Macaca fascicularis: one gene and its partners. The protein of the gene in region 5 interacts with the protein of the main gene of each other region in a pairwise test. Links are inferred from orthologs where the notes say so. Each region holds a gene or a part of one and is shown on either strand. Other genes may lie near its edges.

Region 1 (4,091 bases), on a different chromosome or scaffold from region 5:
AGAGGGACAGTTGAGGGAGAAGATTCCACAGGGTTCAAGCTGGCCAGGTTCTACCATTCCTGGCCCGGCGCCTGACCTCTGAGCAGTGAGGGTCAGTGAGGTATCTGGGAGGACTGGCATTTCGCGGGCTTTATTGGCATCTTATTCGACTAAGGCTACCCATTTCTTTTCCTTCCTGCACCAGTAGCCCTGATTTTAACATGTAAAGGTCCAACTGCTGGGCTCCCCGTGCCTGCCCAGCTCACAGGGCTCTATTTTGGGAGATTTGAACCCCTCAGGATGCTGCTCTCCTGCCTGCCTCTCTCGCCTCCCATCCGGACATTATTTTAATGTAAAGGCATGGCTGAGGCACAGAAATCCCCTTGAAATGTATCATTTCGGTCCTCATTGACTCCCATTGTGTGCCTTAATGGTGGGCCCAGTGGGTGGGGGCTGGGAGGGGTGGAGCAGGTGCATGGGGCAGGGGTGCCCAGCACCTGTTCCAGTCGCAGCTGCTGGCGCACTGCGTGGCAGGCCCCTTTAATCCGGGGGTATCGCATGTACGGTGCCCCCCTCGGCGCCCTTTGTCCCCACCGGCCTGGTGCCGATTTCACACTTGCCAGGAGTACCATGAAGGCGTCTGGGGGGCGAGGGATCTGAGGAGTGGGGGTCAGTGCCTCCTGCATATGCGTGCAGCCCCCGCCCCCAGCCCATCATGTCCTAGAATGTCTCCTTCCCCTTTTGTTCGGGTTTGTGTCTCATCACACTTAGAGCACTTACTGTGCAGGAGGTAGTGCTCGGGACTTCACCAACAGCCCTGGGAAGGGAAGGGGGGTGCCATCGTAACTCCAGTCTTACAAATGGACTCCAGCCCCTTTTCCAGACCTCTAGAGTCAGCCCTTAGTTCACAAGGGTGAACTTACCCTTCTCATTCACATGAAGACTTAGAATGCAATCAGCAAACGCTTCAGGCCTGGCGTGGGGAGGCTGCTGAGTAATGGCAGAGTGGAGTAGTGCTCAGGCACCCCTCCCCCAGTCCTCTGTGTCCCCCACCCTTTGGAGTGTCGAGTTTCCATTTCTGCCCCATGAGAGTGAGTCCAGCTCTCAGGTGCTCCATAAGTCCCTATGGAATGCATGGGTCCCATTGGAATCATTCTCTGGACTCCCTCCTACCCTGGTAGCTCAGTGTAGCACCCTAGGCACCCAGGAGGTGATGGAATGAATTCACTCTCAGCTCTTAAATTCCATCCAGCGCTGGGATTTCACAGACAGGCCCTGGCCTCGCGGGCATGTCAGGCTGGGCGTGAGGGGATTGGAGAATTGCATATTTTTTAAAGAGACTATTCAGTATTATAGAGTAGTGTCTAGCACATAGTAGGAGATCAATAGATTTAAAAAAAAAATTATAGACAGGGTCTGGCTTTATTGCCTAGGCTTGTCTCAAACTCCTGGCTTCAAGCAGTCCTCCTGCCTCACTCGGCCTCCCAGAGTGATGGGATTACTGGCGTGAGCCACCACACCCGGCTTCAATAGATTTTTGTTTAATGAGTTATTGTTATGACCTTTTATGTGGAAAATGCTGCATCCCCCAGAAAAAAACAAACAGCATTATTGGTGTTTTTGGAACTGTAGCCTTTTGGTTGGAGCAGGGATTATTACAAGGCATGAGTGAGGGGCAGACTCCTCTGAGGCCTTTTTAATTTTTAAAGCAGACTTAATTATTCTCTAAGGGCTTATTGAGGACTTACTGGGTACCCAGCTCCATATGCAAGACTTTTTCCGACACAGCCTTGGCCAGGCAGATGGTGTGTCAGAGGCACAGGTTTCTATAGCCTCTTCGGTGTTAGAAAGGGGCCCAGGCCCTGGGCTGGGGCTTAGAATGGACTCAAAGAAGGCCCCTGCCCTTATGGGACTCAGCCTGATTGGAGAACAGACAAGGAGATTTGGGATTACAGCACCAGAGGTGGGGTAGTGAGGAAAGCAGGCTGCTGGCCCAGCCCCAGGAGTGGCCTAACCAGCTTGGAGGTGGGGGTGGGGAGGCCTCTTAAGGCTGACTCTGGCTTTGGCCCCAATAAGTGACAGTAGGACGAATCAGTAAAGATGTTCGGTCGTCGTTGACCACTTCGCACATCTCTGCGGGATGTGGATGAGTACTGTGCCCTACCTTCTGTCACTTACCAACCCCTATGAGTGGGGGATGGATAGCCCGATTTTACAGGTGGAAAAATGGAGGCTCAGAGAAGCCAGACAACTTGCCCAGAGTTGCACAGTGGGAAGCAGCAGAGCTCCGTCAGGTCCCAGCCTTTGGACTCTGGCTGCGTGTTTGAGTCCTGACTTTCCTGGGATCGTGGGATTCTTTCGGGGTTTAGGGTATGCGGGGAGGGATTCCCATCACTGCCAGCTGTTGTCCCACGGCTCATTCGGCCTTTCTGGCATTCTCTCCCCAGGCGAGAAGCCCTTCTCCTGTCCCCACTGCAGTCGCGCCTTCGCTGACCGCTCCAACCTGCGGGCCCACCTCCAGACCCACTCGGATGTCAAGAAGTACCAATGCCAGGCGTGTGCTCGGACCTTCTCCCGAATGTCCCTGCTCCACAAGCACCAAGAGTCTGGCTGCTCAGGATGTCCCCGCTGACCCTTGAGGCTCCCTCTTCCTCTCCATACCTGCCCCCTGCCCGACAGCCTTCCCCCAATCCAGCAGGAAGGACCGACCCCACGTCCTTCTCACTGCCATGGAATTCCCTTCTGAGTGCCCCACTTCTGGCTGCATCAGCCCCACAGGACCTTGAAGACCATTTTCTGGTTCTGTTTCCTCTGCCTGGGTCCCTCAGTGGGCTCTGGAGGAGGCCTTCCCGTGGCCTTTTCTGTGGAGAGAGGGCAGCTGGCAGTCCCAGCCCCCGGGGGATTCCTGAGCTGGCCTTTCTGCATGGGTTTTTGTATCCAGAGCTGTTTGGATACAGCTGCTTTGAGCTACGGGACAAAAGCCGACAGACTCACTGGGAAGCTCCCACCCCACTCAGGGGACCCCACTCCCCTCACACATACCCCCCTACAAGGAACCCTCAGGCCACCCTCCACGAGGTGTGACTAACTATGCAATAATCCACCCCCAGGTGCAGCCCCGGGCCCTGCGGAGGCGGTGGCAGACTAGAGTCTGAGATGCCCCAAGCCCGGGCAGCTATTTCAGCCTCCTGTTTGGTGGGGTGGCACCTGTTTCCCGGGCAATTTAACAGTGTCTCAAAAGGGACTGTGAGTAATGGCTGTCACTTGTCGGGGGCCCAAGTGGGGTGCTCTGGTCTGACCGATGTGTCTCCCAGAACTATTTTGGGGGCCTGACAGGTGGGCCTGGGAGGAAGATGTTTACATTTTTAAAGGTACACTGGTATTTATATTTCAAACATTTTGTATCAAGGAAACGTTTTGTATAGTTATATGTACAGTTTATTGATATTCAATAAAGCAGTTAATTTATATATTGAAAAGAGTCTGGTGTAATAGAGGAGTGGGTATTTTAAAAGGTCTTTGGTAGGGGAGGAGGAGACAGGAATTCCTGAAGCTTAGATATTTCTGACACAGCCTTAAATCTTGTCCTTGGAAACGTCACAGGGCTTTGGAGTCCTGGGTGTTCTGTCTGCTGGTGTTTGGGTGAGCCAGCAGCATCCATATGAGCTCTTCACTATACACTGTGGCTCTTGTTTACTTTCTCATTCTTGAATTTTGAAACCGATTTGGCGCATGGGGTACAGAGCTGGCTTCCTGGGTCTTATCAACTAGGCAGGCTGCAAAGCTGCCCCAGCACTGCAGGTCTTTTGGGGCCGCTTCCCCCACATGCGAGTGGAATGCGACCAAGGAGACAGAGGATGTCCTTCCTGTTTCCAAGGGCTCCCGGCCCCCTCGGGCCTCCTTGTCAGTCCCACACCTCCGTCTTGCTGCTGGGTACCAAATGGCCTTTGATGCAAGGAAATTGGCTGGCTGGAGCCAGGAGGGTGAGAAGCCAGGCCAAAGGGTAGGGGTCACTCAGCTTCCTGCTCCGAGGACTGCGGGACGGTCAGTTTGCGTCCTGGGCTAGGGTAATTCACTCCCCGCCGGCTGGGCCAACGGTGGTGACCTCACCA
Region 2 (3,957 bases), on a different chromosome or scaffold from region 5:
TTGTACACCTTATCCTCTTTTCCCATACTCAAGGAAGATTATCTCCAACTCTTGTTTTAACACTCATGTGCTTACTTCAAATATTTCTGCACTAAAGCTGTAATATTACAAGTTTGTTTCCCTATTAGAGGTTTCCATTTCCAAACATTTATCTTTTACTTGAAAGGACACCATATTTTGCACCTAATCCCTCAATTTTATTGGTGGGGAGGGCATAAGAGAAGTTCACTGCATACAATCTAAGGTCTAAGATCCCCCAAAATTTCCAGCAGGAAAAAGATCTCTGGGCTTAGAATACTCTAGAATACTTGAAATTCCTTACACAGAGAGACTACAATTCCACAATCTTCTTCCAAGACATATTCTCCATAGAACTCTTTCTGTGTTGGGTCCAGATCACTCCACTGGTCCTGGGAAAAGCATACGGCCACATCCTTGAACGTTACCAGTCCCTGAAACCACATAAGGATTTCATCAAAATGTGACGCTACAGGTAGCCTCGCATTTTGTACCTGTTGAAAGTCACACAATAGGAAGACTCCATCTTGGAGATGAAAGGAGCTCAAGTGGCGGGCTGCTTAAACTCATTCTCAGGGGAGCTATGTGTCCTCTAGCGTCCTGCACTGGCCCTGCCCCCTCCAACGCCATCACTTTCCCTGAGGACCAGCTTATGTTCTTCTTAAGGTACTGTTTAAAGGTCTTAAAAATCATCATCCCTACTTGACACTTTAATGCTACATACATTTCTGCAAAATTTATCTTTTCTAGTCAACTTTCCTGAACGACTCTAATCACTTTCAATAGTTTCTACACTCTATAGGCAAAACAAGACTTTTTTCCTCAGTTAGATTACAATCTAAAACCATACATGAATTCTATTTCTTATCCTCCAGCCACATGGCTTAGTTTCAGGGCTTTGATCATGGTGAATACTTGCTAAATGTCTCAGCAGTACAGTCTGTCATACTTACAAATGACTATCAGATGTATTCCTTAAAAAAAACCTAAAAAACCCTCATTTGACAACTTCGAAGTTGTACTGGAGTGTTACAAAATAATCTCATTTTGTTAGCTTTTCTAGTCAACGGCAAATAAACAGGCGTTGGCGCCTATGGATCCAATAGAGGGTATGATAATTTGTCTCATTATCTCCTCCCCTTTCTCCTCCCCTTCCAGGCATCTGCAGAACTGTGAGCTTAAAACTGGCAAGAGTGTAAATGTGTATCCTGCTTCGCCTGTTTAGTATGGCTAATGCCCAGTGGTTCTTCAAACAAACTCTCTGTGGTACAGAGGTAATTAGGGCACACCTGTGATAGAGCAGTAAGAAGAGCAACCATCTCTGAGTCTCCAGAGCTCCTCTCTGCGGGAAGGTCTGGCTCCTGGGGCACTGGGACCTCTATGAAGAAAAGGCGGCAAAGATCAGTAATATGCAGCGTGCCCCAATAATGGACAAAAATCTAGGCATCCCCCACCATCTTTGGTAAGAAGGTGGCCCTATCCTTCTTATTATGGGAACCAAGACACAGGCCTAAGGGTAGCTCCCATATCCCACACCCATCACCTATAAGACCATCAGAATGCCAAGAGAACAAGCAACGATCTGCTATCTAAGCTTGGCCGTGTTTTTAGGGGACTCTAGCTGGTGGTTCTGTCTCCTCTTGACATCCTGGATTCTGTGATTTCTTTCCATGCAGTCTACCCAGCTCCCTTGGTACAGGAGAACAGCCCCCTCCTTGCCTGCCTTCTGCCACAATCCCCCCTTTCTGCTGAGGCTTCCCACCGCTCTCCTGCAGGGACTGGAGCTCCTCTTCCTGGTGCAGACGCTGCTCTGCTGGTGCCCCCCGATCTGGGCTCTGTGTGGTTTCCTCAGGAGACTGCCGGGGGGTCGAGCTTTGCACAGGATCCTGTAGCTCACTAGGTGACTCAGGCTCCGCTCCTAAATGCACCGTCTCCTCTGACAGGACTTCCTGGCCGTGAACATGGACAGTCACCTGGGAATAATTCCAACTTCCAGTCACCATGGAGTCAGGAGGAAGTTCTTGGTTGTCATGGGAGCTTATTTTAGGAGAAGATGTCTAGAGAAAACACTCCCAGAGGGACCCAGACAAGGAGGGGAAACTCCAGTTCCAACTCAGCAGGCAAGGAGGAGCTGAAGCTTATCCTCCCCAGAACGAGGCAGGGGATGCGCAGGTCTGCAATGCTCTCTCACCACCCCCAGCTTTGGAACCCGTCACCCAAGGCTCCTTCCCATCTCCACCTGTCCCACCTGTAGCTCTCCTTGCTGCCTGCTTCCCTAGCTGACCAGCCAGGAAGGGGGATCTGTGACTGGGGATCTATGAGAACCTTTGAGGAAGTCACAAAATTCTTCTCTCCAGGAACCCAAGGCTCAACATTCAAAGAAGGGAAAACCAAAGCCATGACCCTTTGGTGGCTGAGACCCCTCAGACGGTCCCTACACAGGTGTTCCAAAATCCAGAAAGTCACATTCATACACACACATCCCCCTAATCCGTGGGGCTCATGGATCTATGAGCAACCCGAGGGCAGAGCCCACTAATAATTTATGGGGATCCTGCAAGCCCTCCCCCAAATCCAGCCTTCCAGCAAATAGTCCCCCTCCACATCACACAGATCAGGACTCCCCCTCCTCACCCACCGCCTTGGTCTCCTGGGTTGTTTCTGCAAACCCTCCACCAGCGTCACCGCCTCCTCGCCACTTTCTGGCCGTTGGCCCCGCACCCAGCTCTGTAGTTCTCCGGGCAGGACGGTAAGAAATTGTTCCAGTACAAGCAGCTCTAGAATCTGCTCCTTTGTCCGCCTCTCTGGTCTCAGCCACTGGTGACAAAGTTCTCGGAGTCTGATGAGAGCTTCTCTAGGGCTTGCGGCTTCCTGATAGCGGAAGCGCCGGAAGTTCTGGTGGGAGGTCTCCAGCACTGGGTCATCCCTCTGTAAGACAGACTCTGGCCTACAGGTGAAATCATCTTCCAGTTTCACCATCAGAATTCCCTCTTCTTCCCAAAGATCCTGGTCCTCTGGTTCCATGGCTGTAGCCATTTCTTGGCTTTGGGGTGGTCTCACACCATCTAGAGCTCACACTGTCATTAGACCCCAGCCTCAGCCTGGACACAGCGAGGATTTTCTGCCAAGGGCCCTGGATAGAGAAGTAAAGACAAACAAGAGTATAAGCATGAAACTACACACAAGGACAACAGTCTGAGTTCAATCATAATCCCCTATACAAACTTCTTCAAATGGTTAAATCCTCTTTTCCCCAACCTCCACAACCATAAATCAACACATCCAGTTGGGAGAGGACAATCCACAACTAAAGGTGTGGTCCTCTATCCCCCTTCCTAGGCAAGGTTCATACTCCAAGAGAAAATACTGCATTTCCACTTCATGAACACTGCCAATTCCATCTCTCAAGACTCCAAATCGGCTCCCTCCTCTTCCTTCCTACAGACCGCTTTAGTTTCAGGCTTCATCATCTGCTGCCTGGACTCTGCTCTAACTTCCTGAGATCCCTGCAGTACTCAACTATGAGCAAAGTGCAACAGAATTACCTGTGGAGGTTTTGCAAAACACAGTATCACACATTTTTCAGACACTCTGATTCAGTCAATCCAGGTAACTGTATGTTTAGAGATGCTACATGCAGTTCAAAAGTGTATCCATGGTTGAGAAACACCAACCATGAGGGAGGTGTGTAAGGTTATGAGCGAAAGTTCTGAAGCCAAGCTACCTGTGTTTGAATCCTGGCTCTATCGCTTACTAGGTATTTCCAGAGTGAGACCATAGGCAAGTTCTCATTCTCCTTATGCTGGTTTCTCTGTCTATAGAAGGGAGATAATAATGGTTTTCATCTAATAAATTTACTATAAGGATTAAATGTATTACTATCTTTGCTTAGAAGAGTGATGGCACCAGCGGTTGTCTTCCTAAATTATGGTTCCAACT
Region 3 (4,385 bases), on a different chromosome or scaffold from region 5:
ACGCTGCTGATAAACACATACCCAAGAGTGGGTAATTTATACAGAAAAAGAGATTTAATGGACTCATTCCATGTGGCTAGGGAGGCCTTAGAATCATGGTGGAAGGTGAAAGACAAGAGAGAATGAGAATCAAGTGAAAAGGGTTTCCCCTATTGAAACAATCAGATCTCTTTAGACTTATTCACTACCATGAGAACAGTATGGGGGAAACCCCCACCCCCATGATTCAATTATCTCCCAAGGCCTCTCCTACAACACGTGGGAATTATGGGAGCTATATAGCTCAAGATGAGATTTGGGTGGGGACACAGCCAAACTATATCAGATGGTGTGGCTGTGGTGGAACAGTCAAGAAATAGTGCTGATGGAATTATAAATACTTCCTATCAATACATGGAGGGAAGGCCAAAGAAGTTCACAATCAGATAAGAACTATAGAGTGCCGTTTTCAAAAATGTTTCACAGAACATCAATTCCATGAAATTATCTGAGAAAAAAAAGAGGTGAGGGACATTAAACATTAAGTTTCTTTACTGCATGTCTTTAAAATTTTAAAGTGCATTATGAACTCCCAAGAGAGGATATAGTATGCAGGGTTCCCAAATCTACTCGTTCACAGGAATCCTCCCACTTCACTCTTTTTAAAATTTCTTTTTGTCTTGGAGATTTCTTATGATGCGTACTTTATACTTCACCCTTTCATAAGTTCTGGGACAGGAAAAGACTTAAGACATGTCACAGAACTGTATCCCTAACTATAGATTTTTCTCTGGTGTCTCCAAAATGTGCCTGTTGTGTGTTTCTCAGATTACTTGAGAGCTAAATGAATATTTTGTATTCAAATCGAAATTCACAAAGCCAAGTCATTTTCATAGAAATTCTCAAAATTTTCTCCCCGACCCTCTAAACTATCCAAGTGAATCAATAAACCAGTTCATGAGAGGAAATTGCAGCTATTTTATATGCTTTTTTAAAATCAATGTTCAATTATAATCAGATTACAAAAGGAATCACATTGCCACATCTCCTTCTGGCTGGCGCTGTAAGCCAGGCGTCCTTGGTTCTCAGTAATCCCTGTTCTGCTGACAGGCACGGAGCTGGGCCTCTAGTACTATCTGATCAAGGGAGCTGTTGGGAGGCGCTCTCTCTTCTCTCCTGGAGGCCTGAGGGAGCTTCTGGAACTCCTGGAAGTTTGGGTCTTTCCCTTGGGTAATGTGCCGCACCCTCTGCTCCTTTTTCTTAATGGCCTCCTTGATGCCTTCAATGTGGCACTTTTCCTCCTTCTCGGCTTTCAGTTTCAGGATGTGGTGGTTTTTCTCCCTCAGGTGGTTGAGCTCCCGGAGGTGCTGCACCTTGTCCCTAGTGGTCTTGTGCACGTGATTCCTGGCCTGTCGGATCTTCTCATCTGCCAGCTCCACCAGAATCCTTTTGCGCATCTTCCTCTGCTCCTCTGACTCCCCTGCACGCCACCTGGCCTGCTGCAACTGCTCTTCCTCCTTCTGGGCCTTCTCCCTCAGCTCGCGGTGCCGCTCCTTCATCAGGCCCTGGTGTATCTCTTGGGACCGCTGGAAACTTTGTTCCAGGGACAGCTGCCTAAGGAGCTCCTCAGCCTTGGCCTGGCAGTCCATGAGGACCTTCCGGGCCTGGTAATTGATGAGAGAGCTCAGGTTGGTGTCCTGGACCTTCTTCTGTCCCTCCACGGCATGCAGATGCCTCTTGCGACAGGCCTCCACCAGCCTCCTCTGTAGCTGCAGGGTGTGTTGCTCCCGGAGGTTCCGTTGCATCTTCTCCTGCTCCCGCAGGCGCCGCACCTGGCACTGCTTTCGGTGCTCTGCCTGGGCGCGCGCCTTCTCCAGCTTCTCCTGGCGCGGGCTCTCCTGGTCCTCAGTTTGTTCCTTCCACCGGCTTTCCCCCGGGGTCACGTTCTTCCTCTGGCTGTCCCGCCGCCGGCAGCGCTGCTCAGGGCTTTGGAGGGTCTTGCGCTGCTCCTTCTCCTGCCACTGCTCCTGGCTCTGCTGCAGCAGCAGCCGGCGTTCCCGCTCCAAGGTCATCTGGACCTTCTGATCCGAGCGCTTCAACTCCTCCCAGGCCTCAGCCGCCTGCTGCTGCAGCTCCCGCATCCTCTGGGCCTTCTTGAGACGGGTCAACACGAGGGCCACAATCTGCTGGTCCTGGGAGGACACCACTGCCTCTTCCAGCTTGCTCTTCAGGACCTGGGTGTGGGGGCTCCGCATCTCTTTGCTAGAGGCCGAGGGCTGGGAGTCCCGGCTTGCTAATGACTCAACCTGGTCGCTGCTGTCTCTCTTCTGGGCGCACCCGCAGGCTGAGTGCCTCCTGAACTTTTGGGAGGGCACAGAAGACCGCTCCGAGGGAACTGAGGAAGCGGACCAGCGACCTAGATGTCTGCCGAGCGGCACTGCCCACTGGTCTCCACCCTGTGCCTTTTCTACCCTGAATGTGCCACTCAGGGGAGTGCCAGCTCCTCCGGAGTAAGGCGGGGGCGAGTCTCCCTGGGCCAGTGGGTAATGCGGGCAGGGCTGCGGCCGCTGGGGTGGCAGCTGGGTCTGCGGCTGCCAAGCTGGGCGGGGCTTGGTTCCTGTCTCTCCCCAGGCATCTTCTAGGCGCCTGCTGCGGAGCCCGTGCTTCCTGGAGCGGTCCAGGGGCCTGCGGACCACATCGCTCAGGCTTCGGCTGCCCCGCGGTGAGTCTGAGCACCCGCGCCTGCGAGGCCGCGGCGTGAACGAACAGTGCGGGTGCAGCCAGCACGCCCCAGCTTCGCTCTCCGCACCCGGAGTCTCGGCCCGGGAGCACGCGGGGGAGTTGGCTCCGGACCTCTGCCCGCCCAGCCGCTGCGTGGACTCTCGCTCTCCGCCGGGCCGCGGGGGTTCCCAGAGGTCCCGGTAGGGCGGCTGGGAGAAGTGGCTGAAGCCTGCCATCCCTCCCTCTGGGCACGCGCAGAGTCTGCGCAAGGGGTCTGAGACCTCCAGAGGACGCTGCAGACACCCGCCCCGCCCCCCGGTCCCGAAGTCGGGGTCGCCTGTGACGCTCCGGCCACTTCACAATGCGCCTGGCAGCTGGGTCCCCGCAGTCTTCAGCCCTTGCCCGGCGCCGCCCACCCCAGTTTTGCTAGCACTCGGAGCACCTGGAATGGGAAGGACAGGAGGCTGGAGATGGGGGTGGTGGGGGTCGGGTGGGGGAGAAAGGGGTTGCAGGTTGGAGGAGGGAATATGTGGGAAATCAGGATGATATTTAAAGATGAGGGTGCATAGTGTCCCCCCACCAGTGTTTCAGGGAGAAATTTGAACTCGCATTTGCACACAAACAGCAGGATTTTAAGAGAGCCCGGGTGAAGGCGTCACCCTCAGAATAAAAAGGGTGGGGAGAAGGGCCAAGGTGCAGTTTCAGGGAGGAGATACCCTCAGCTGCAGAACCACCGTCCTGCACGTGTGTACCTCTGCAACGTGGTCAAATAGAGCGGCTGTGGACGCACATTAATATGCGACACCATCCATTTGCCGTTTTAAATTAGCAAGCCCAAAGTATGCTTTAATGTTAACTTTTAAAGATTTTTAGAAAAGGAAGACAACGACTCTATTTTCTAATATGGTAATTACTGCTTTTGTCAAAATATGAATGCTGCGTGCACATTTCTGAAATAGCATCAGTGAACACCATGTTGAAATCACATTTTTCCCCCTTTTCCTCGAATTTTGTGGGATTCTTGTTCCTTGTTGAGGCACCCTTGGCTAATGGGAAAAACACTGGATCTGGTAGAGAAAAAGAATTTGAATCTCCTCTACCACTCTTCACTCATGGGCTCTTGGGCAAATCCCTTAAGTTTCCATGACCTCCAGTTCCAGCAAGATGGAGTGGGAAGCCGGGCTCATCTTACCAGCATTGCAGGACTGTTGTGAGGATCAGACGAAATGATGCATCCAGAGGTTGGCACCAGAATACATTCAATAAATATCATTTTGGTGCCATGCTAAGCGTCAGTTAAAAGTTTTAAGAATTGGGTTGGGTGGTGGTTCATGCCTGTAATCCTAGCATGTGGGGAAGGCAAGGCAGGAGGATCCCTTGAGCCCAGGACTTAGACCAGTCTGGGCAACATAGAGAGACTCTGCCTCTATATAAACATTTTAAAAATTAGCTAAACATGTGTGTGCATTTATAGTCCCAGCTATTCCGGAGGCTGAGGTGGAAGGATTGCTTGAGTCCAGGAATTTGAGGCTGCAGTGAGCCATGATTATGTCACTGCACCCCAGTCTGGGCAACAGAGTGAGACTTTGTCTCAAAAACAAAGTGTTAAGACTTAAAGTAATATATGAATTTACAAATATTTCTGCAGATTTCTAGCTTAAGGAAATAATGCAATTAATGTAATC
Region 4 (4,527 bases), on a different chromosome or scaffold from region 5:
CCACTCAAATGAGACTTGAGAGGGGACTGACAGGGCTGTGGCCAAGGGCCAGCTGGACTGTGAACGTCACGGCATCCTCAAGGCCCCAAACCCACAGCCTGCTATTTAGACCCCTTACTGTTTAGACCCCTTACTGTTTAGACCTCTTACTGTTTAGACCCACGGTGGTGGTGATTTTGGATAGACTCATTCCCTTGTAGTTCTTGTTAAACCGGGTTTTTGACTGTTCCAGGAAGGTCTGAGGAGAGAGGGAGAGGCAGACACATCAAGTAGGGGCTACACTGGCTTCCCAAATATCCTTCCTCAGGCCTGTTCCTTAAGAGAGAAAAACAGAAACAAAGCAACACTCTGCTCTTCAGGAAGCTGGTGGTGACAATCCTGTCGTCTCAGGTGAAATGTGGATTCCATCTGGGTAGTGAACATGCAGCTGACAGCACAAAACCGAAGCGGGGGCCACCCGGCCGTGGGAAAGGTGCGGGCAAGGGAGTGGGCACTCACCGTCTTCCCAGCATTGTCCAGGCCCAGGATCAGGATGCAGTACTCGTCCTTCTGAAACATGTACTTGTACAAGCCCGACAGCAGCGTGTACATCCTGCCCTGGGCGCCCCAACATGTGTCAGTGTGCAGCCGGAACGCAGCTCCCCGCCCCCGGGCTTCTCCACGGTGGTCAGGGGCGCCCCACGTCCAGCTGGCCGCTCAGGACCAGAGCCTGGGGGCCATTCCCGACTCTCCCTCCTCCACCGCACCCCTGCAACTCCTCCCAGGCCGGCCGCCACTCCGTCCTTCCGCTCACAGCAATGACTGCGACCTTTCCGAACCCGCAGCGGCTCCGGTCCCTCCCCTGCTCGCGGGACCACCCAGCCGGGTGTTCGCGGTGAGCTCCGCTGCGCTCCCGCCCTCCCCCGAGGTTTCGCTCCCACGCTTCACGCGCGCGGAACGGGGAACACACTCGCGGCAGCCCCGCCTGGGCCCCCGCGCCCCACCCGGGAGCAGCGAGCCGCCGGCGCGCTCCCCAGGAGCTCCCCAGGGACGCCCCATCAACCCATTTCTTAAAACGGGGACGGCCAGCGGGAAGCGGACTACAGGGCGGGTGCGCAGCGGCCCGGCTGCTCCCGGAGGCGGCGCGCGGCGGGCAGGGAACGACTCCCGCGGAGAAAGAACCCGCGTCGGGGACCCCGGCTACGGCCGCCCCATGCCGCGGCCGCCAGGTTGGAGGCTCGCCGACAAGCAGCCAAAGCTGGTTCCTGTCACACCTGCGTCCCACCTCCAGCTCTGGGCCGCCCCTCGGGCCTCGCGCCCCACCGCATAGCCTGCGGCCTACCTGCGACCGCCGCGACCTCGGAGCCGCCGCTGCTGACCCCCGCTGACCTCCGCTGACCCCGCGCTAACCCCGCGCGGCGCCTGACGGGACGAGAGCCGGCCTCAGGGAAGGAGCTGAAACGCGTCCCGGCGGCCTCCGCGCTCCGCTTCCCGGCTGCCCCCGCGCGCCAGGCACTTCCGGAAGTGGCGGCGCTCGGGAGGAAGTGCTGGTCGGCGGCGGGGACGAAAGGGGGGTGCCGGGCCGCTCTAGCCGGTGAGGCCGGCGGGCTCTCTATGGCGGCGGCTGGGAAACCGCGCGGGGGAGGTTCCCTGCCCGGGGAGAGGGGACCCCGGTTTGCGGGGACGCGGCCTTGGCCAGACTGCAGAGACGCCGGGCGCGGGGGCGGGGCCGGCCTGGAAGGCAGCGGGCGCGGCGGGTGGGCTCGGCGGAGGGCCGGGCGGCGGGGCGCCCCGCGGGGAGGGGGTCTCCGGAGTGACGCGGGACCCGGCTAGCGGCGAGCCCAGGGCGGCTCGGAAGGGAAGCGCGGAGCCTGAGCGGGGGTACCCGGTCTGCGACCTCTGCGCTGGGAGCTGTGCCTCTGAGCCGGTGTCTCCCCGAGGGACAGGGGACGTGCCCGTGCCCTCCCGCAGTCTGTGGGGCCGGTCCCGAGACGCGAGGCTCACCTGGCTTCTCTTCTCGCAGCCCTGGTCCAGCGCCTCCCTCTCTCAGCATGGACGAGGAGAGCCTGGAGTCGGCCTTGCAGACCTACCGTGCGCAGCTGCAGCAGGTGGAGCTGGCCCTGGGCGCCGGCCTGGATTCGTCTGAGCAGGCGGACCTGCGCCAGCTGCAGGGGGACCTGAAGGAGCTCATCGAGCTCACCGAGGCCAGCCTGGTGTCTGTCAGGAAGAGCAAGTTGCTGGCCGCGCTGGACGAAGAGCGCACGGGCCGGGAAGATGCTGAGTACCAGGCTTTCCGGGAGGCCATCACTGAGGCGGTGGAGGCGCCAGCAGCAGCCCCTGAGTCCGGATCAGAGACCGTTCCTAAAGCAGAGGCGGGGCCCGAATCTGCAGCAGGTGGGCAGGAGGAGGAAGAGGGAGAGGACGAGGAAGAGCTGAGTGGGACAAAGGTGAGCGCACCCTACTACAGCTCATGGGGCACTCTGGAGTATCACAACGCCATGGTGGTGGGAGCGGAAGAGGCTGAGGATGGTTCGGCGGGTGTCCGTGTGCTCTACCTGTACCCCACTCACAAGTCTCTGAAGCCGTGCCCGTTCTTCCTGGAGGGAAAGTGCCGCTTCAAGGAGAACTGCAGGTAAAACCCTTTGTTATCAGGATGCCAACCTTGGGGCGTAAGGGGCACGCACACAGGGTCGGGTCAGGGTGGCCCTCCCTTTGCTTTGCAGTTTTGTCTCAGCTTCTTGGGGCAGGCATGCTTTGTGACAGCAGTGTCTGTGTTCAGGCGTCTGCGTCTTTGTTCCGGGGTAAATCAAGAAGCATAGAAGGTGGCCGGGTGCGGTGGCCCACGCCTGTAATCCCAGCACTTTGGGAAGTCAAGGCGGGCAGATCACCTGAGGTCAGGAGTTCAGGACCACGCTGGTCAACATGGTGAAACCCTATCTCTGTTAAAAACACAAAATTCAACTGGTCGTGGTGGCGCGCACCTGTGGTCCTAGCTACTCAGGAGGCTGAGGCAGGAGAATTGGTTGAACCCAGGAGGCCAAGGTTGCAGTGAGCGGAAATGGAGCCACTGTACTCCAGCCTGAGCAACAGTGCAAGGCTTATGTGGAAGAGAATAGGTCTCCAACCTATCGTCATTGTTTTTTTGTTTGGTTGTTGTTTTAATTTTTTTTGAGACAGGGTCTTACTTTGTCAACCAGGCTGGAGTGCAGTGGCGCAGTCCTGGCTTACTGCAGCCTGGACCTCCTGGGCTCAACTGATCTCCTGCCTTAGCGCCCCTAGTAATTGGGGTACAGACTCACACTACCACATCCAGCTAATTTTTGTATTATTATTACTTGTTTATTTATTTATTTTTTGAGATGGAGTCTTGCTCTGTCGCCCAGGCTGGAGTGCAGTGGCGCAATCTCGGCTCACTGCAAGCTCTGCCTCCCGGGTTCAAACAATTCTCCTGCCTCAGCCTCCCTAGTAGCTGGGATTACAGGCACCTGCCACCATACCTGGCTAATTTTTTTGTACTTTTTAGTAGAGACGGGGTTTCACCGTGTTAGCCTGGATGGTCTCAATCTCCTGACCTTGTGATCCGCCCACCTCAGCCTCCCAAAGTGCTGGGATTACAGGCGTGAGACACAGTGCCTGCTTTTTTTTTTTTTTTTTTTGGAGATAGAGTTTCACTCTTGTTGCCCAGGCTGGAGTGCAGTGGCATAGTCTCAGCTTACTGCAACCTCCTTCTCCTGGGTTGAAGTAATTCTCTGCCTCAGTGTCCAGAGTAGCTGGAATTACAGGTGCCCACCACCACGCCCGGCTAATTTTTTGTATTTTTAGTAGAGACAGAGATTCACCATCTTGGCCAGGCTGATCTTGAACTCCTGACCTCGTGATCTACCCGCCTCAGTCTCCCAAAATGCTGGGATTACAGACGTGAGCCATCACGCCTGGCTAATTTTTGTAGTTTTAGTAGAGGTAGGGTTTTGTCATGTTGTCCAGGCTGGTTTCACGCTCCTGAGCTCAAGTGATCCACCTGCCCTGGCCTCCCAAAGTGCTGAGATCACAGGCATGAGCCACTGCGCCCGGCCCTGTTGTTAGTTTTATTCTCTAGAGTTCAACTTGAAAACTTTACTTTTTTTTTTTTTTTTTTTTGAGACAGAGTCTCGCTCTGTCACCCAGGCTGGAGTGCAATGGCTTGATCTCAGCTCACTGCAAGCTCCGCCTCCCGGGTTCACGCCATTCTCCTGCCTCAGCCTCCCGAGTAGCTGGGACTACAGGCGCCCGCCACCTCGCCCAGCTAATTTTTTTTATATTTTTAGTAGAGACGGGGTTTCACTGTGTTAGCCGGGATGGTCTCGATCTCCTGACCTGGTGATCCGCCTGTCTCGGCCTCCCAAAGTGCTGGGATTACAGGCATGAGCCACCACGCCCGGCCTGAAAATTTTACTCTTACGGAGATTTTCAAACATACCCCAAGTTAGAGAGCTTAACATAATCACTGCCCACGGTCCATAATCCACGGTCCATCATCCAGTGTCCTCATTGATTAACATTTTGCTAGTC
Region 5 (4,753 bases):
TTGACTCATTAGGTTACTGTGAAAAGATAATTTTCTTTCAGAGATTTGTAATTTTTCAGAAGTGTTTTTGAATCCTTGAACTCATATTTGTTGCAGAGCAGCGTCAATATACCATGAGACACTCTAAGAACTTTTTGCATAAGTGTTGATGTGTAAAGAGAATCACTAAATTCAAACCTAACTCTGCCCAGGGAGTAATAAATCCTCAGAGACTATTTTAACTCACTTACATATGTTCTTCTGGTTTGGTTTCTATTATCAGCTACCTAGGAAGTAGCCCTCAGGATTAGGGGAAAAAATAAGTTTATTCTGGATCAAAAAATTTTTAACTTTTTCAGATTACTGTGTTTTCTTTTCCTATAATGTTCTCAAAAATTCTACAGGCAATTTTCTCTATGCACCTTTGAAAATGAAATAAACATAACGACTAAAACCAAGCAAAGTGAAACAGATTATGCTTCATAATGGAGCTGAAATCCAAGACAGAATCCAAAAAAGTTACACATCTCAAGTTCCTATCTGTCAGATTTGGCACCAGAGATTTCATCCAGTGGAATCACTGATTTGGAACCTAAATAAAATTTTATTTTGCAAGTTCCAGCAGTTTTAATTTTCATGAAATTCAGGCCTTCATAAATAAATAAATAGGAGAAAACAGGCTGTACATCTCAGAAGAAAAGACTCCTGTGGGTTCCTTGTCCCTACTCTGAAGTATAATCATTGAGGAATTCCCAAGGGACTAAAAGGTTATAACTTACAATTTATATTTCACTCTCATTAGAAATACACGTAAAATAGTGTAACTTATCTAATAACAAGAAATGAGAAATGGGGAGAAGGCAAGTTTCAGAAAATCAAAGATCATAATTCCAGCTCTAACCAATTTATATTTTAGCCTGCAGAAAAACAAGTTATTCCTATCAGTTACGTAAAGTGACTTTTCCATTTGTACGCAGGTAGACATGTTTGTATACACACACACAAACACACACACACACATTAAGTCCAATATATAGCTCACTCCTCCAGTCTTGTCAGCACATACTCTGAGAACACAAAAAGCATTGAAAGATTGCTAATCACACTGACCATTTTTATGGTGGTGGCACAAACAAATAAATGTCATTTTATGAGCTGTAATACTAATTTTAAAAGGGGACCCAAGCAATCAATGCACAGAATCAAAATCTGTGGACATGTTATTTTCCTGATTTGTAATGAGTTGTATCTATAATTATTGATTGGCCAAATTTTCTCTTTCTTTTCTTATTCTGTCAAAAGGACAATGTTTCCTATGACAATTTTCTGAAATAAGTGTTTTGTCTGGCACATGGAAATGGTGTAGGTCCTGCTTCGGTAACCTAAAGTTATCCCTCTTTTATGAGGCATAAAACTCTTCCTCAGTAAATAAACAACTCTAATGAGATGTTTGTATGAAAACTGGCACCATCAGTGATAAAGAAAACATCCGGTGCAGTCTGTAAACACCCATTTTGGGGCGTTATAAAACTCTCAGGAGGGAAGGAGAGTTTTGGAGTCAAGGCAACTGAAGTTTTGCAGCCAGCCTCTGTCTTTGCTTCTGGAAGGATGACTTCTGACTGTTCCTCCACACACTGCTCTCCTGAATCCTGTACCACGGCCTCCGGTTGTGCACCTGCCTCAAGCTGTTGCATAGAAACAGCTTGTCTCCCCGGTGCCTGTGCTACATCCCGATGTCAGACTCCAAGCTTCCTATCCAGGTCTCGCGGGCTGACTGGTTGCCTCCTGCCATGCTACTTTACTGGGAGTTGTAACAGTCCCTGCTTGGTGGGGAACTGTGCCTGGTGTGAGGATGGGGTGTTCACTAGCAATGAGAAGGAGACGATGCAGTTCCTGAATGACAGACTTGCCAACTATCTGGAGAAGGTGCGCAGCCTGGAGGAGACCAACGCAGAGCTGGAATCCAGGATCCAAGAACAATGTGAACAGGATATCCCAATGGTGTGCCCGGATTATCAGTGTTACTTCAACACCATTGAAGATCTCCAACAAAAGGTGTGTGTCCTGTTGCCCTAGTGCTCCACCTTCCGGATCTATGACTTGCTTTATCTTTCTACCAGAGGGACGGTTTTCCAGAAGGCAACCAAGGGAAAGGGGAATTCCAGGAGTTAATGGTACATAGGGGAGACCACTGGACTGAAAGTCAGAAAACCTCAGCACCAGCGCCAGAACTACCCCTGATAACTGAGTGACTATAATAAAGTAACTCGCCCTTAGGCTTTTCCTTCATCATCTATAGAATGCAGAAAAACTGTATTACATCCAAAATCGCTTTTGTATTTGACACTGAACATTTATATTATCTGAACACAAATCGTCAAATGCCATCTTTTTAACCACCTAGTAATCATTTGCTTGTCTCCTTGATGAATTTCTATTATTATGGGAGAGGATAGAGTCATAATACAAACTACTGATGGAGAAAACGTTAATGGTGTTCAACTGCCTAGGGATGTTGCAAAGTGTCTTATGTTATTAAAAAACTAAACCTTTTTATTTCTCTATTTTGCTTCTAAATTGGCACTGCTTTTTTCTTCATGAAGCGACAAGGTCAATAAGAAAAGCAGGCTGAGGGTGATTTTATACTTTCTTATAAAGACTTTCAAAAGATAACTAATGGCACAGCTGTTGGATAGAAGTTTATTTAGGTTTCTCTCAAAGAATCATTTGTCACATAATGGCTTGCTTCCCAGATCTTATGCACGAAAGCAGAGAATTCTAGACTTGCTGTACAGCTTGACAACTGCAAACTGGCCACTGATGACTTTAAGTCAAAGTAAGTTTAATTTAATTTAATTTAATTTAATTTAATTTAATTTAATTTACTTATTTTGAGGAGTTTCACTCTTGTCGCCCAGGCTAGAGTGCAATGGCGCTATCTCGGCTCACTGCAACCTCTGCTTCCTGGGTTCAAGCGATTCTCCTGCCTCAGCCTCCTGAGTAGCCGGGATTACAGGCAGGCGTGCGCCGCCACCCACACCCAGCTAATTTTTGTATTTTCAGTAGAGATGGGGTTTCACCATGTGGACCAGGCTGGTCTTGAACTCCTGACCTCAGGTGATCCACCTGCCTCGGCCTCCCAAAGTGCTGGGATTACAGGCATGAGCCACCACACCCTGCCTTAATTTTAATTTGAAAATAATTTATGGCTCGCTCTCTCTCTCTCTCTTAATCTCTCTCTCTCTCACACACACACACCCCCACAAATATTCTCTATATAATATTTTAAAGTCAAGAATGTTTTAAAAGCTTGAATTTATCATTACTTAGGAATTAAGAGAAATTATGCATGTGGCTTCCTGAAGTCCATGTGTCGATCCTCCACGTATCCCCACACTTTGCACAGCGTTCAGCAAAGTAAGCATTGGATTTCTCTTTTGCCGTGAAAGGTACGAGAGTGAACTGTCCTTTCGCCAGCTATTAGAGGCAGACATCAGTGGCCTGCATGGGATCCTGGATGAGCTGACCCTGTGCAAATCTGATGTGGAGGCCCATGTGGAGTCTCTGAAGGAAGATCTCCTTTGCCTTAAGAAAAACCATGAAGAGGTAAGGAAAGCGGCAACGCCACTGAAGGACTCCGAGAGTAACGTACTTAACACTGACAGATGATCTGTTGATGTTTGTAAATCAAATTTGGGCGGATGTTGCTTAAGCTGGAATAAAACTACTCCAGGCAGGGCCAAGCGCGGTGGCTCATGCCTGTAATCCGAGCACTTCGGGAGGCCGAGGCAGGTAGATCACAAGGTCAGGAGTTCGAGACCAGCCTGGCCAATATGATGAAACCCCATCTCTACTAAAAATACAAAAATTAGCTGGGCATGGTGGTGGGTACCTGTAGTCCCAGCTACTCGGGAGGCTGAGGCAGGAGAATAGCTTGAACCCAGGAGGCGGAGGTTGCAGTGAGCCGAGATCTCACCACTGCACTCCAACCTGGGCAACAGAGCAAGACTCCATCTCAAAAAACAAACAAACAAAAAAGCAGAAAAACTACTCGAGGCATTATTACTATTCAACCTGATCATTCCAGCGTGTCTCTGAATTAACATGTGAAATAGCCCCTAGACAGTGCCAGACAAAGGAACCAAACTCTTCTCCTGCCCTTGCCTTTGTGGAGGAGGTGAGTAACTTCACAAATGGCTTCCTTTGGAGGCTTTATGCCACCCCTAGCTCCAATCCACAGGGTATGAAAATCAGTCTGAGAAACAGACTATGAAGTCCGTTTCAAAAAAGGGATAAGGACTCATACACTATCTGGACCAGTGTTTTTAAATATTCCGCATTTATAAACTTTTAAAAGTCATAAAATATAAAGTGATTAATACAGTGATAAAGCTAGAAAATGAAAAGCTGAATGATGTAACAAAGTACGTTTGCTCTTTGAATATTTGTTGATGACAATCATAGCTAACATTTATTGACACCTTACTATGTGTCATAATTAACTTTTATAAGTTAATTATGTGTAGATTAACTCTTCTAGATCTCACAATAACCTTCTGGAAAAATGTCCGATTATTATGTCCATTTTACAGACGAAGAAATTGAGGCCCTTCTAAGTGGTGAAAAGAGATTCAGCCCAGACAACCTGAATCAAAATCTCACACTTTTACCTACTACTCCACAAAACAGAAGTAGAATGCCATTGGATGTCAAATGGATTTTTCCCCATCATTCTGTGACATCTTTATGCCATCCCACTTTCAGGAAGTCAGCT
Region 6 (4,500 bases), on a different chromosome or scaffold from region 5:
CACTGCCCACATATTGAGAGCCAGGTGTGTGGCCTCAGTTGTCCTCATAGCAGCCCTGAGAGGTGGGCACACCTGTTACCTTATTGCTCAGATGGGGAAACTGAGGCTTAGGGGAGGGCTTGCCTGTGAGGCCAGCCTGACCCCCGTACTCACTTCCTGCCTGCAAATGCCACATGCTTGTTGGTGTTGTGACAATATCGCCCCTTTGAGGCCACGTTGTGCTTGGCTAAGTGGTGGGGATCTGGACTGAGAGATGTGGGTTCGAATCCCAGCTCTATCACTTCCAGCTGTGGGGACTTGGACAAGCCACTCCCTGCCTCCTGGGTTCCCACTGACAGGCATGTTAGAGCCCAGACTCTGACTCCAGGTGGCCAGGGTTCAAATCGCAGCTGCCACCTGCTTGCTTCGTGAACCTAGCAAGTGACTTCATCCTCAGTTTGTCTGTGAAATGGGGATAAATAACAGGACCTGTCTCCTGGGGTCACTGTGGCGATGAAATAAATCAATTCCTGGAGTCTTGCCATATGGGAAATACTAAATGAATGCTACCCTCTGCTATTGTTATTATTATATTTTTGAGATGGAGTTTCACTCTTGTCGCCCAGGCTGGAGTGCAATGGCGTGATCTCGGCTGACTGCAACCTCCACCTCCCAGGTTCAAGTGATTCTTCTGCCTCAGCCTCCCAAGTAGCTGGGATTACAAGCATGCACCACCACGCCCAGTTAATTTTTTGTATTTTTAGTAGAGACGGGGTTTCACTATGTTGGCCAGGCTAATCTCGAGCTCCTGACCTCAAGTGATCTGCCCGCCTCAACCTCCCAAAATGCTGGGATTACAGGCGTGAGCCACCGCACCCGGCCCCTCTGCTATCATTTTTATCATACTTTTATATGTATAAATGTAGACTATGATACATATTTTACTATCCTCTGGGTTTTTTTGTTTTTTGTTTTGTTTTTGAGACGGAGTCTTGCTCTGTTGCCCAGGCTGGAGTGCAGTGGCGCGATCTTGGCTCACTGCAAGCTCTGCCTCCCGGGTTTACGCCATTCTCCTGCCTCAGCCTCCTGAGTAGCTGGGACTACAGGCGCCTGCCACTACGCCTGGCTAATTGTTGTTGTTGTTGTTGTTTTGTATTTTTAGTAGAGATGGGGTTTCACCATGTTAGCCAGGATGGTCTTAATCTCCTGACCTCGTGATCTGCCCGCTTTGGCCTCCCAAAGTGCTGGGATTACAGGCGTGAGCCACCGCGCCTGGCCTTTTTTTTTTTTTTGAGACAGAGTTTCGCTCTTGTTGCCCAGGCTGGAGTGCAATGGCGTGATCTTGGCTCACTGCAACCTCTGCCTTCCAGGTTCAAGCGATTCTCCTGCCTCGGCCTCCCGAGTAGCTGGGATTACAGGCATGCGCCACCATGCCCAGCTAATTTTGTATTTTTTAGTAGAGACAGGTTTCTCCATGTTGGTCAGGCTGGTCTCGAACTCCCGACCTCAGGTGATCCGCCCGCCTCAGCCTCCCAAAGTGTTGGGATCGCAGGCGTGAGCCATGGCGCCAGGCCTATTATACTGTAACAGCCCTACACTGAGCCTTTCAGGCAGGCGAAATCCACAGTGTTCCCATCACCAAAGCTTTCGAAGAAGCAAAGTAGCCATGATGCACCTGTGCTTCAAAGCCATTCATTCATTCATTCATTCATTCATTCATTCATTCATTCATTCAACACAAAGGTTCCCTTCCCCTCCCTCTCTCTCCTCCCCAATCCCCTGCTCATCCCAGCCTTTCTAGAGACTGACACTAACAACCCTTCCCCACCTCCCAGCCTTTGCTCATGCCATTCCCTCCCACACCCTAAGGCCCCTGCCTTTCTTTCCCTTTCCCCTCCCAGGGCTCACTCCTCTCCATCCTTTAAGACTTGGTACCTCCTCCTCCAGGAAGTCTTCTCTGATCTCTGCCCCCCCACGATGGCCATAATCCTGACTCCTTTCATTGCCTAGTTTCATGGCTGTCCGCCTTTGAATACAATCAGCGCATAATGAGCGCCTACTGTTTGCAGGCTCCCTGGCCGGACAAACGATAGAGAGGTGAAAAAGTGATATTGGGTGATGAGTTACAGACCGACAATGCCTGGTCCCTCCTGTTTCAGAGAAGTGTCAGTCACCATGAACCGGTCGGGTCCCCCCTCTTGCTGTCCCTCCCGTGACCCGGTCCTTTGCGAGGGGAGGGGACAGGTTACCTGGGCATCCAGATCGTTACTTAGTTCTTGGCCATCTTTTTGCTTTACCCCTGCGGGGGAGAGTGCGTATAAGAGAAGGGCCCTTGAAGGGTCTGTGGGAGTTCCAGGCCACCCAGAGCCGCGATGCAGAGCCTCCCCGAGGCTGGGACCTCCGGGGGAGGTGATCTCAACGCCTCTCCCTAGACCACGCCCCCTCGGCGCTCCCACGCGCGGTCTCCGCACCAGGCCCGGGACCCCAGCAGCCTCACCGTACACGATGGAGCGCCCAACTCCTGTGTGGTCGCTGCCGAATTTCCTCATCAGAGCCCCCGCCTTCTTGGAGGATACCTTCCCATGAAACTTCTCCCGGAGGCGCCGGACGCTCTTCTCCAGCTGGGATGGGGACAGGGGGGTTCCGGTGGGCGAAGGGGAAGCGCGATCGTCCCTCCCCCATCTCTAGGCACCGTTCTCCCGGCCTGAACTTGACCCTTGGTTTTGGCCTCCGCCGCCCCCCCTTTCATCCCTCTACGGCATTTCCTGGAAAAAGCCAAAGTCCCCACATGGCGCTGGGGGAGGGCGCGGACTGAGGCGAGCGTCCCAGCCTAAGGTGGGGGGGCGGCCAGGTTATCTCTGGCCTCTGACCTTTGACCCTGCAGCCCCCGCTTTTCCTCGGAGAGGCCTCATTTCGCTCTGGGGAAACGTGGGAGTCACTTTCCTTTTCAAGGGGGGTGAGCGCCAGGCAGGGGTAAAGATCTGGGGTTCTAGGATGGGGGTCCCCAGGAACTGCGAAGCCCCCTCCGCGCCTCTCGGCCGCTCCTCGGAGTCTGTCGCGTCTGCCCCCGGCCCAGCCGTAGCCATCTCTTACCTCCACACCTTCCTGAGACATGGTGGCGGCGGCGCAGGTCCCCGCGAGGGTCCGCACTGCGCGGTTCAGCCGCCCCCCTACCTGGGCGCGCCCGTCGGTCCAGCAGCCGCGCAGGGCAGGGGGCGGTGCCTCGGGGCCGGCTCCGCCCTTCCTCCCCAGCCCCTGTTTCGCTTTCGATTCAGGGGGGACCGGGCGCGCTGGCTCCGCCCTGGCTCCGCCTCTGCTCTTGCGCCCCAAACCCAGGCGGTCGCCCCGGGTCTGCACCCTGCGGCGGAGCGCGCAGACCTCGGGCGGGGGAGGCGGCGCGGCCTCTGCAGTCGGTCACATGTCCCCACGCTGCGCGGGGTCCGCGTCTTCACGTCCCTCGTGGGGGCGGGGCCGCATCGGAAGGCCGCGGCGAGGCCCCGCGCCCCCCCACCCAGCGCGCGCTCCCCCAGTTCATCACCCTCCTCTCTGTCCTCCCTCCTTCCCCGGGAATCTGGCGCTCATGAGGACCTGGGCGCTTTTCCTGCCCTGAGTCTCTGTCCTAGCTAGGGTCACCTCTCTGAACCTCAGTTTACCCCTCTGTGAAATGGGGAGGATCCTGGTGTCTACACCATGGAGTGGAGTATATGCCAAGATTCCCGAGTGGATCGCGTAATAGCGCCTGGCTTGCAGTAGGCACTCAACTAGTCACTGGGCCACCTGCTGTGTGCCCTTGATAGGGGCAGGCAGTGTGTGTGTGGTTGTGGGGAGCGGTGCTTGAGAAAAACACAGATTCTTGGTCTCTCGTTGCCCGGTAGAATCCGGCTGTCTCAGGGATCCAGGGAATCTGCAATGGTTAAGAACCCCGTGGGCTGGACAGTTCTAACCCAGTACAGGGCGCATCAGGGAGCCGTTAGGTGGTGGGGCTCTGGCCCAGCCTGGGGACACAGAGATGGCTACTTCATTGGAGGAGGGGATGCTTTGTACAGTCACTGAAATTGGAGGTCTTAGCTCGGGGACGAATAGAGTGGGGAGTTGAGGCAGCCGTGCAGAGCCCCCAAAACAAGACTAAGTCTGGGGCTTTCGGGCAAGGGCTTCTCAAGCCCAGCACTCTTGACACTTTGGGCTGCCTGGTTCTTTGTGTGGGGGACTGTTCTGTGTGTTGGGGGACATTTAACAGCATCCCTGGCCACTGCCTGCTAGATGCCAGTGGCTCCTCACTCTCCCTGTTGTGACTACAAAAAATGTCTCCAGAGACTGCCAGATACTCTCTGAGGGGCAAAATAGCATTGTGTTCAACGACTCTAAATTTTTTTCTCCATTGCACACCTCTATAGGTAAAACTGTTAAAATTACACCCCCAGATGGATATTTATTTATTTATTTATCTTTTGAGACAAGGTTTTGCTCTGTTGCCCAGGCTGGAATGCAGTGGTTTGAATACGGCTCACTGCAGCCTCGAAC
Region 7 (4,043 bases), on a different chromosome or scaffold from region 5:
GGTTAGCTTGCTTAGCATGGAATCCAACAGAAAGCTGAGCTGCATGATGATCCCTTTCAAAAGGCTTCATGGGAGTCTCTCCTTTTGCAGAGCATGAAATGAGCTTTTTTAAAAAATAATAATAATAAAGGATTGATCATCCACAGGCTTCATGATAAACTGTCCCAGGCTGAGTTTTAATAGCTCATTAGCTATCCAAGATTAATACCTGATTTTCTTGTCTTTTCATTTGAATACTTTTTATTTCGCTTTTAGGACCATAAAGCTCAGGAAGGGTTCATAACCCCATCCTTAAATGTGTCTACTCAATGTAGTATGAGCAAACTAGAAAAGCGAAAGAGGATGGCATCTCCAATGTCCTCTTTTCAATCAACTCAAATCAAGAAAATTTCACACAAGTTTTCTGCTGCCATTAAAAATTATGATTTTTCCAATATGAATATTCTGAATATTTGTTCTCCTTGGGAGGCTCTGCCCCACTTTTTGCTAAGTATTTGCTTAAATACAGGTCCTCTGACCCTTTTGTTCAAGTATAGTTTAGTTTTAAAGAGGAGACTGCATCATGAACCCAATTTAAGAGATTGTTTGTATTGAATTGGCCCAGTGAATATTTTGCCCTGCACTGTTATGTCATGCTGGGTTCTATGAAGTGAATGAAAGTTTGACACTGGCACTGGAGTAACCCTCATCACTCCCAATACTCGGCAGGCTGCTGTGGTCATCAATGTCACTGATGCTGGTGGTACTTATATTGTCCACTTCTCCATGGGAGAACTCTGTGCTTTCAACATCCACTTCAATCTCCTCTGCCAAAGGAAAAAAAAAAAAAAAAAGAACATTAATAATCAAGTATAGCACACCTTCAAAAACTAACGGCATGAGGAAAAGAGGTATAAGAAATGTTAATACAACAAGCCTATTATCAGTGATCCCTGGAGAACAGAGGAACTGAAGGTGAAGAGACAGGAATATTTTTTTGCCAAGGGGAATGTCTGACATACAGTGGTGGTCTGAATTTAGGCAGCAAATTTACTAAATCCTTTGACGCCAGTTCGTCTGGACCTCCCACTAAAACCACTTGGCGTATTTGGGAATTAGTGCTTAATATTAAAAGGTCCTAACCCCCAAGTGGTTTAAAAACATCTGTTTTGCATTAAACCACAAACTAATTCTCAGTTCTGTTTATTAATCAGGGTTGCCTTAAATGGTGGGCAGGAGCATAAACTTAATATAGGCAAACTAGAAAATTTACCCATCCAGGCCTTTGTTGGTGCCATTCTACAGATAGTTCAACACACTTCTAGGATTCATCATAAAGATCTTCAACTAGTCAGTCAAACAAGTCATAATAAAGTAGAGTTTGAGGGATATGTCTTAGATTTAACTTTCTTGCATCAAATATAGCTTGAAATAAGGGCCTGAGACTTAAAAGTCTTCAGATTATAGTGAGATCCATTTTGGTGGTAGTATACAGACTTAAAAACCAAACATTAAAAAATAAATAAATAAATAAATATTTGACTCAGCTATCAATAGATAATGTTGCTGGATGCAGTGTCTGTAATCCCAGCACTCTGGGAGGCTAAGGCAGGAGGATCGCTTGAGCGCAGGAGTTTGAGACAAGCCTGGGTAACAAAGTGAGACCCCATTTCTACCAAAAAAAAAAAAAAAAAACCCCACAAAAATTAGCTGGGTACAGTGGGTGAGCCAGTAGTTCCAGCTACTCGGGAGGCTAAGGTGAGAGGATCACTCTTGAGCCCAGGAAGTTGAGGCTGCAGTGTGCCCACGTCTCATCACTGCACTTCAGCCTATATGACAGAGTGAGACCCTGTCTCTTACAAATAAAAAAAAATCTTAATTGTTAAATACTAGATATTCAATCACCAATAATATACATAAAGCAATACACGTTAAAAACAAAAAGGAGTTAAAAAGTTGTTTTCTCCCATCAGAGCTAGAGTGAACCCAGGATTTTTCAGTTACCTTAAAACAAATTCAAAGCCTGATGTTTCTTTCACATTTGGCACTGACTTTAAGGGGTCACACTAATCACAACTGCTTTAAAAAAAAAAAAAAAGTGGATTCAGCCAGGTGCGGCCAGCACTTTGAGAGGCCGAGGGAGGTGGATCACGACATCAGGAGTTCAAGACCAGCCTGACCAATTTGGTGAAACCCTGTGTCTACTAAAAATACAAAAATTAGGCGGGCATGGTGGCACGCGCCTGTAATCTCAGCTACTTGGGAGGCTGATGCAGCAGAATCACTTGAACCTGGGAGGCAGAGATTGCAGGGAGCCAAGATCGCGCCACTGCACTCCAGCCTGGGAGACACAGCGAGACTCTGTCTCAAAAGAAAACAAAAAGTGGATTCTTGTGAGGCCAAAAGGACAGGGTGAAGCTATTTCCAGGAATATACTTTTCAAAAGGGCTTGTTGCTTCAAAAGTTTTAGAGATTCTAGAGTTGTGTTTTTAAAATGTAGGCAGCTATCCAAATAATCTATTAATTCATATATTTGCTCTATATCCATATTGCTTCAGAAACCATCTTTCCCCACACCACTGAACATTCATCCAACCTACAACTAGAAGATAATAACAAGGCACACTATTCAAAAGAGCATGCTGAACTCAGTCAAAACAAAGTAAAATGATGGCCAGCACAGCGGCTCACACCTGTAATCCCAGCACTTTGGGAGGCCAAGGCAGGAGAATTGCTTGAAGCCCAGGAGTTTGAGACCACTTGGGCAACAAGGCCTATCTCTATTTTAATAAAATTTAAAAATGTTTTAAAAATTTAAAAAAAAAAATGAGAAACTGCTTTAGCCAAGTGTACCAGAGATGTTAACTAAAAGCCCCTGTAACACTACAAAAAGGAGGTTGCCAGCTCAGGATAAGGATGGTACTTGGTAAGGTACTACTAAAGTAAGGTACACTGGGAACACTAAAAAAAAATATGAGAGCTATAGTGATGAAATACACCCTCCTCTCTGAAATTTGGAGGTAGTTGGGGTGGGTACAAGGAGGAGGTAACAGGAAGGACAGCTAAAACCTAAAGACCTAAGAAGAGGTTTCCACTAGTTAGCAATAGAGGAAAGACCAGGACACCAAAGTCTGGGTTATTTCTGCTATACCTAATTCAGGGTTATTTCTGCTATACTTCACTGTTATAAATGCAGCATGTCCTTCAGGTTCTTGCTACTGCCTCTGGTAGACTTTTCTTGAAAACTGAGTGCCACACAAAAATAAACTTTTACATAGAAAAATAACAGAACAGAAAAACAAGAACTCCTAGGGTTGTGTTAAAAAGGATGAAGAAACTATTTGAAAGGCTCCTACTCACCAAATCTGGGACAGTTTGAGCATTCAAAAGAATTTAAAAGGATGACTGCAATGGATTGGAACACATTCGGTACAGCAAAACGTGAGTTCATGATATAATCAAAAACCAGTAAAACCAAAACTTGTTACTTCTGGAAGTTGCTATGGTACCAGCTCTGTTTGGGAAACTGATAAAGCAAAAAACAAGACCAAGCATTTATCCCACCTTCCCTGTATGAACTTTATTTCAGGATAACGGAAAAGTTGAGAAAATGTTTATAGAAGAAAAACAGTTAATAAGTACATGAGGAATGACACAATTAGAAAACCACTATTTTATGTCACCTCAATGAAATAAGGGCAATAATTGCTAAAACTATTAAGTTAAAGGCTGATACATTTATATAAATGTATTAAAATGACCTTACCTGAACCTACTGATTAATATTAAAAGTGCAACAACTAGACACAATACTGACTTAACAGGAAGTACAAAGCACCACCTATGAAGTATTCTGCATCTACCAACTAGTTTACAGTAAACATAAAGGACATAACATATTAAATGACACCATGAGAATACAACCAGACAAATCTAGGATGTGGGAAATTCTATAAGAAAAATGACTCAGTCTCTTGATGTTTAAAAAAATATGTACATATATACACACACAGATCTATACCTATATATTTATTAATGTTTTCTCTGCCAAAGAAGTCTTTTTG

The links.
Region 1: the proteins of KRT40 (region 5) and SNAI1 interact in binary tests that used the Homo sapiens proteins (3 or more experiments, as listed by UniProt). The two-hybrid records come from large-scale screens. The link is inferred for Macaca fascicularis from reciprocal best matches to the Homo sapiens genes KRT40 and SNAI1.
Region 2: the proteins of KRT40 (region 5) and ZNF202 interact in binary tests that used the Homo sapiens proteins (3 or more experiments, as listed by UniProt). The two-hybrid records come from large-scale screens. The link is inferred for Macaca fascicularis from reciprocal best matches to the Homo sapiens genes KRT40 and ZNF202.
Region 3: the proteins of KRT40 (region 5) and CCDC185 interact in binary tests that used the Homo sapiens proteins (3 or more experiments, as listed by UniProt). The two-hybrid records come from large-scale screens. The link is inferred for Macaca fascicularis from reciprocal best matches to the Homo sapiens genes KRT40 and CCDC185.
Region 4: the proteins of KRT40 (region 5) and ZGPAT interact in binary tests that used the Homo sapiens proteins (3 or more experiments, as listed by UniProt). The two-hybrid records come from large-scale screens. The link is inferred for Macaca fascicularis from reciprocal best matches to the Homo sapiens genes KRT40 and ZGPAT.
Region 6: the proteins of KRT40 (region 5) and SHFL interact in binary tests that used the Homo sapiens proteins (3 or more experiments, as listed by UniProt). The two-hybrid records come from large-scale screens. The link is inferred for Macaca fascicularis from reciprocal best matches to the Homo sapiens genes KRT40 and SHFL.
Region 7: the proteins of KRT40 (region 5) and MXI1 interact in binary tests that used the Homo sapiens proteins (3 or more experiments, as listed by UniProt). The two-hybrid records come from large-scale screens. The link is inferred for Macaca fascicularis from reciprocal best matches to the Homo sapiens genes KRT40 and MXI1.

Annotation. Positions count from the first base shown.
Region 1 is NC_088384.1:106,071,364-106,075,454, forward strand, and holds the end of SNAI1 (zinc finger protein SNAI1), read left to right. Parts: intron 1-2,426; coding exon 2,427-2,611; 3' UTR 2,612-3,458; downstream 3,459-4,091. UniProt on the Homo sapiens protein: Involved in induction of the epithelial to mesenchymal transition (EMT), formation and maintenance of embryonic mesoderm, growth arrest, survival and cell migration.
Region 2 is NC_088388.1:122,522,497-122,526,453, forward strand, and holds part of ZNF202 (zinc finger protein 202), read right to left. Parts: intron 3,152-3,957; 5' UTR 3,055-3,151; coding exon 2,653-3,054; intron 1,992-2,652; coding exon 1,781-1,991; intron 1,397-1,780; coding exon 1,308-1,396; intron 453-1,307; coding exon 323-452; intron 1-322. UniProt on the Homo sapiens protein: Transcriptional repressor that binds to elements found predominantly in genes that participate in lipid metabolism.
Region 3 is NC_088375.1:81,410,037-81,414,421, reverse strand, and holds CCDC185 (coiled-coil domain-containing protein 185), read right to left. Parts: upstream 2,964-4,385; 5' UTR 2,937-2,963; coding exon 1,065-2,936; 3' UTR 938-1,064; downstream 1-937.
Region 4 is NC_088384.1:119,823,681-119,828,207, forward strand, and holds the start of ZGPAT (zinc finger CCCH-type with G patch domain-containing protein), read left to right. Parts: upstream 1-1,493; 5' UTR 1,494-1,573; intron 1,574-2,002; 5' UTR 2,003-2,030; coding exon 2,031-2,611; intron 2,612-4,527. Other genes in the region: ARFRP1 (ADP-ribosylation factor-related protein 1), read right to left, coding at 151-238, 499-597, 1,254-1,307. UniProt on the Homo sapiens protein: Transcription repressor that specifically binds the 5'-GGAG[GA]A[GA]A-3' consensus sequence. Represses transcription by recruiting the chromatin multiprotein complex NuRD to target promoters.
Region 5 is NC_088390.1:62,067,563-62,072,315, reverse strand, and holds the start of KRT40 (keratin, type I cytoskeletal 40), read left to right. Parts: upstream 1-1,533; 5' UTR 1,534-1,587; coding exon 1,588-2,034; intron 2,035-2,732; coding exon 2,733-2,815; intron 2,816-3,428; coding exon 3,429-3,585; intron 3,586-4,743; coding exon 4,744-4,753. UniProt on the Homo sapiens protein: May play a role in late hair differentiation.
Region 6 is NC_088393.1:10,631,655-10,636,154, reverse strand, and holds the start of SHFL (shiftless antiviral inhibitor of ribosomal frameshifting protein), read right to left. Parts: upstream 3,205-4,500; 5' UTR 3,094-3,204; coding exon 3,073-3,093; intron 2,601-3,072; coding exon 2,477-2,600; intron 2,279-2,476; coding exon 2,229-2,278; intron 2,054-2,228; coding exon of another isoform or gene 1,915-2,053; intron 1-1,914.
Region 7 is NC_088383.1:119,355,816-119,359,858, reverse strand, and holds part of MXI1 (max-interacting protein 1), read right to left. Parts: intron 807-4,043; coding exon 643-806; 3' UTR 1-642. UniProt on the Homo sapiens protein: Transcriptional repressor. MXI1 binds with MAX to form a sequence-specific DNA-binding protein complex which recognizes the core sequence 5'-CAC[GA]TG-3'. MXI1 thus antagonizes MYC transcriptional activity by competing for MAX.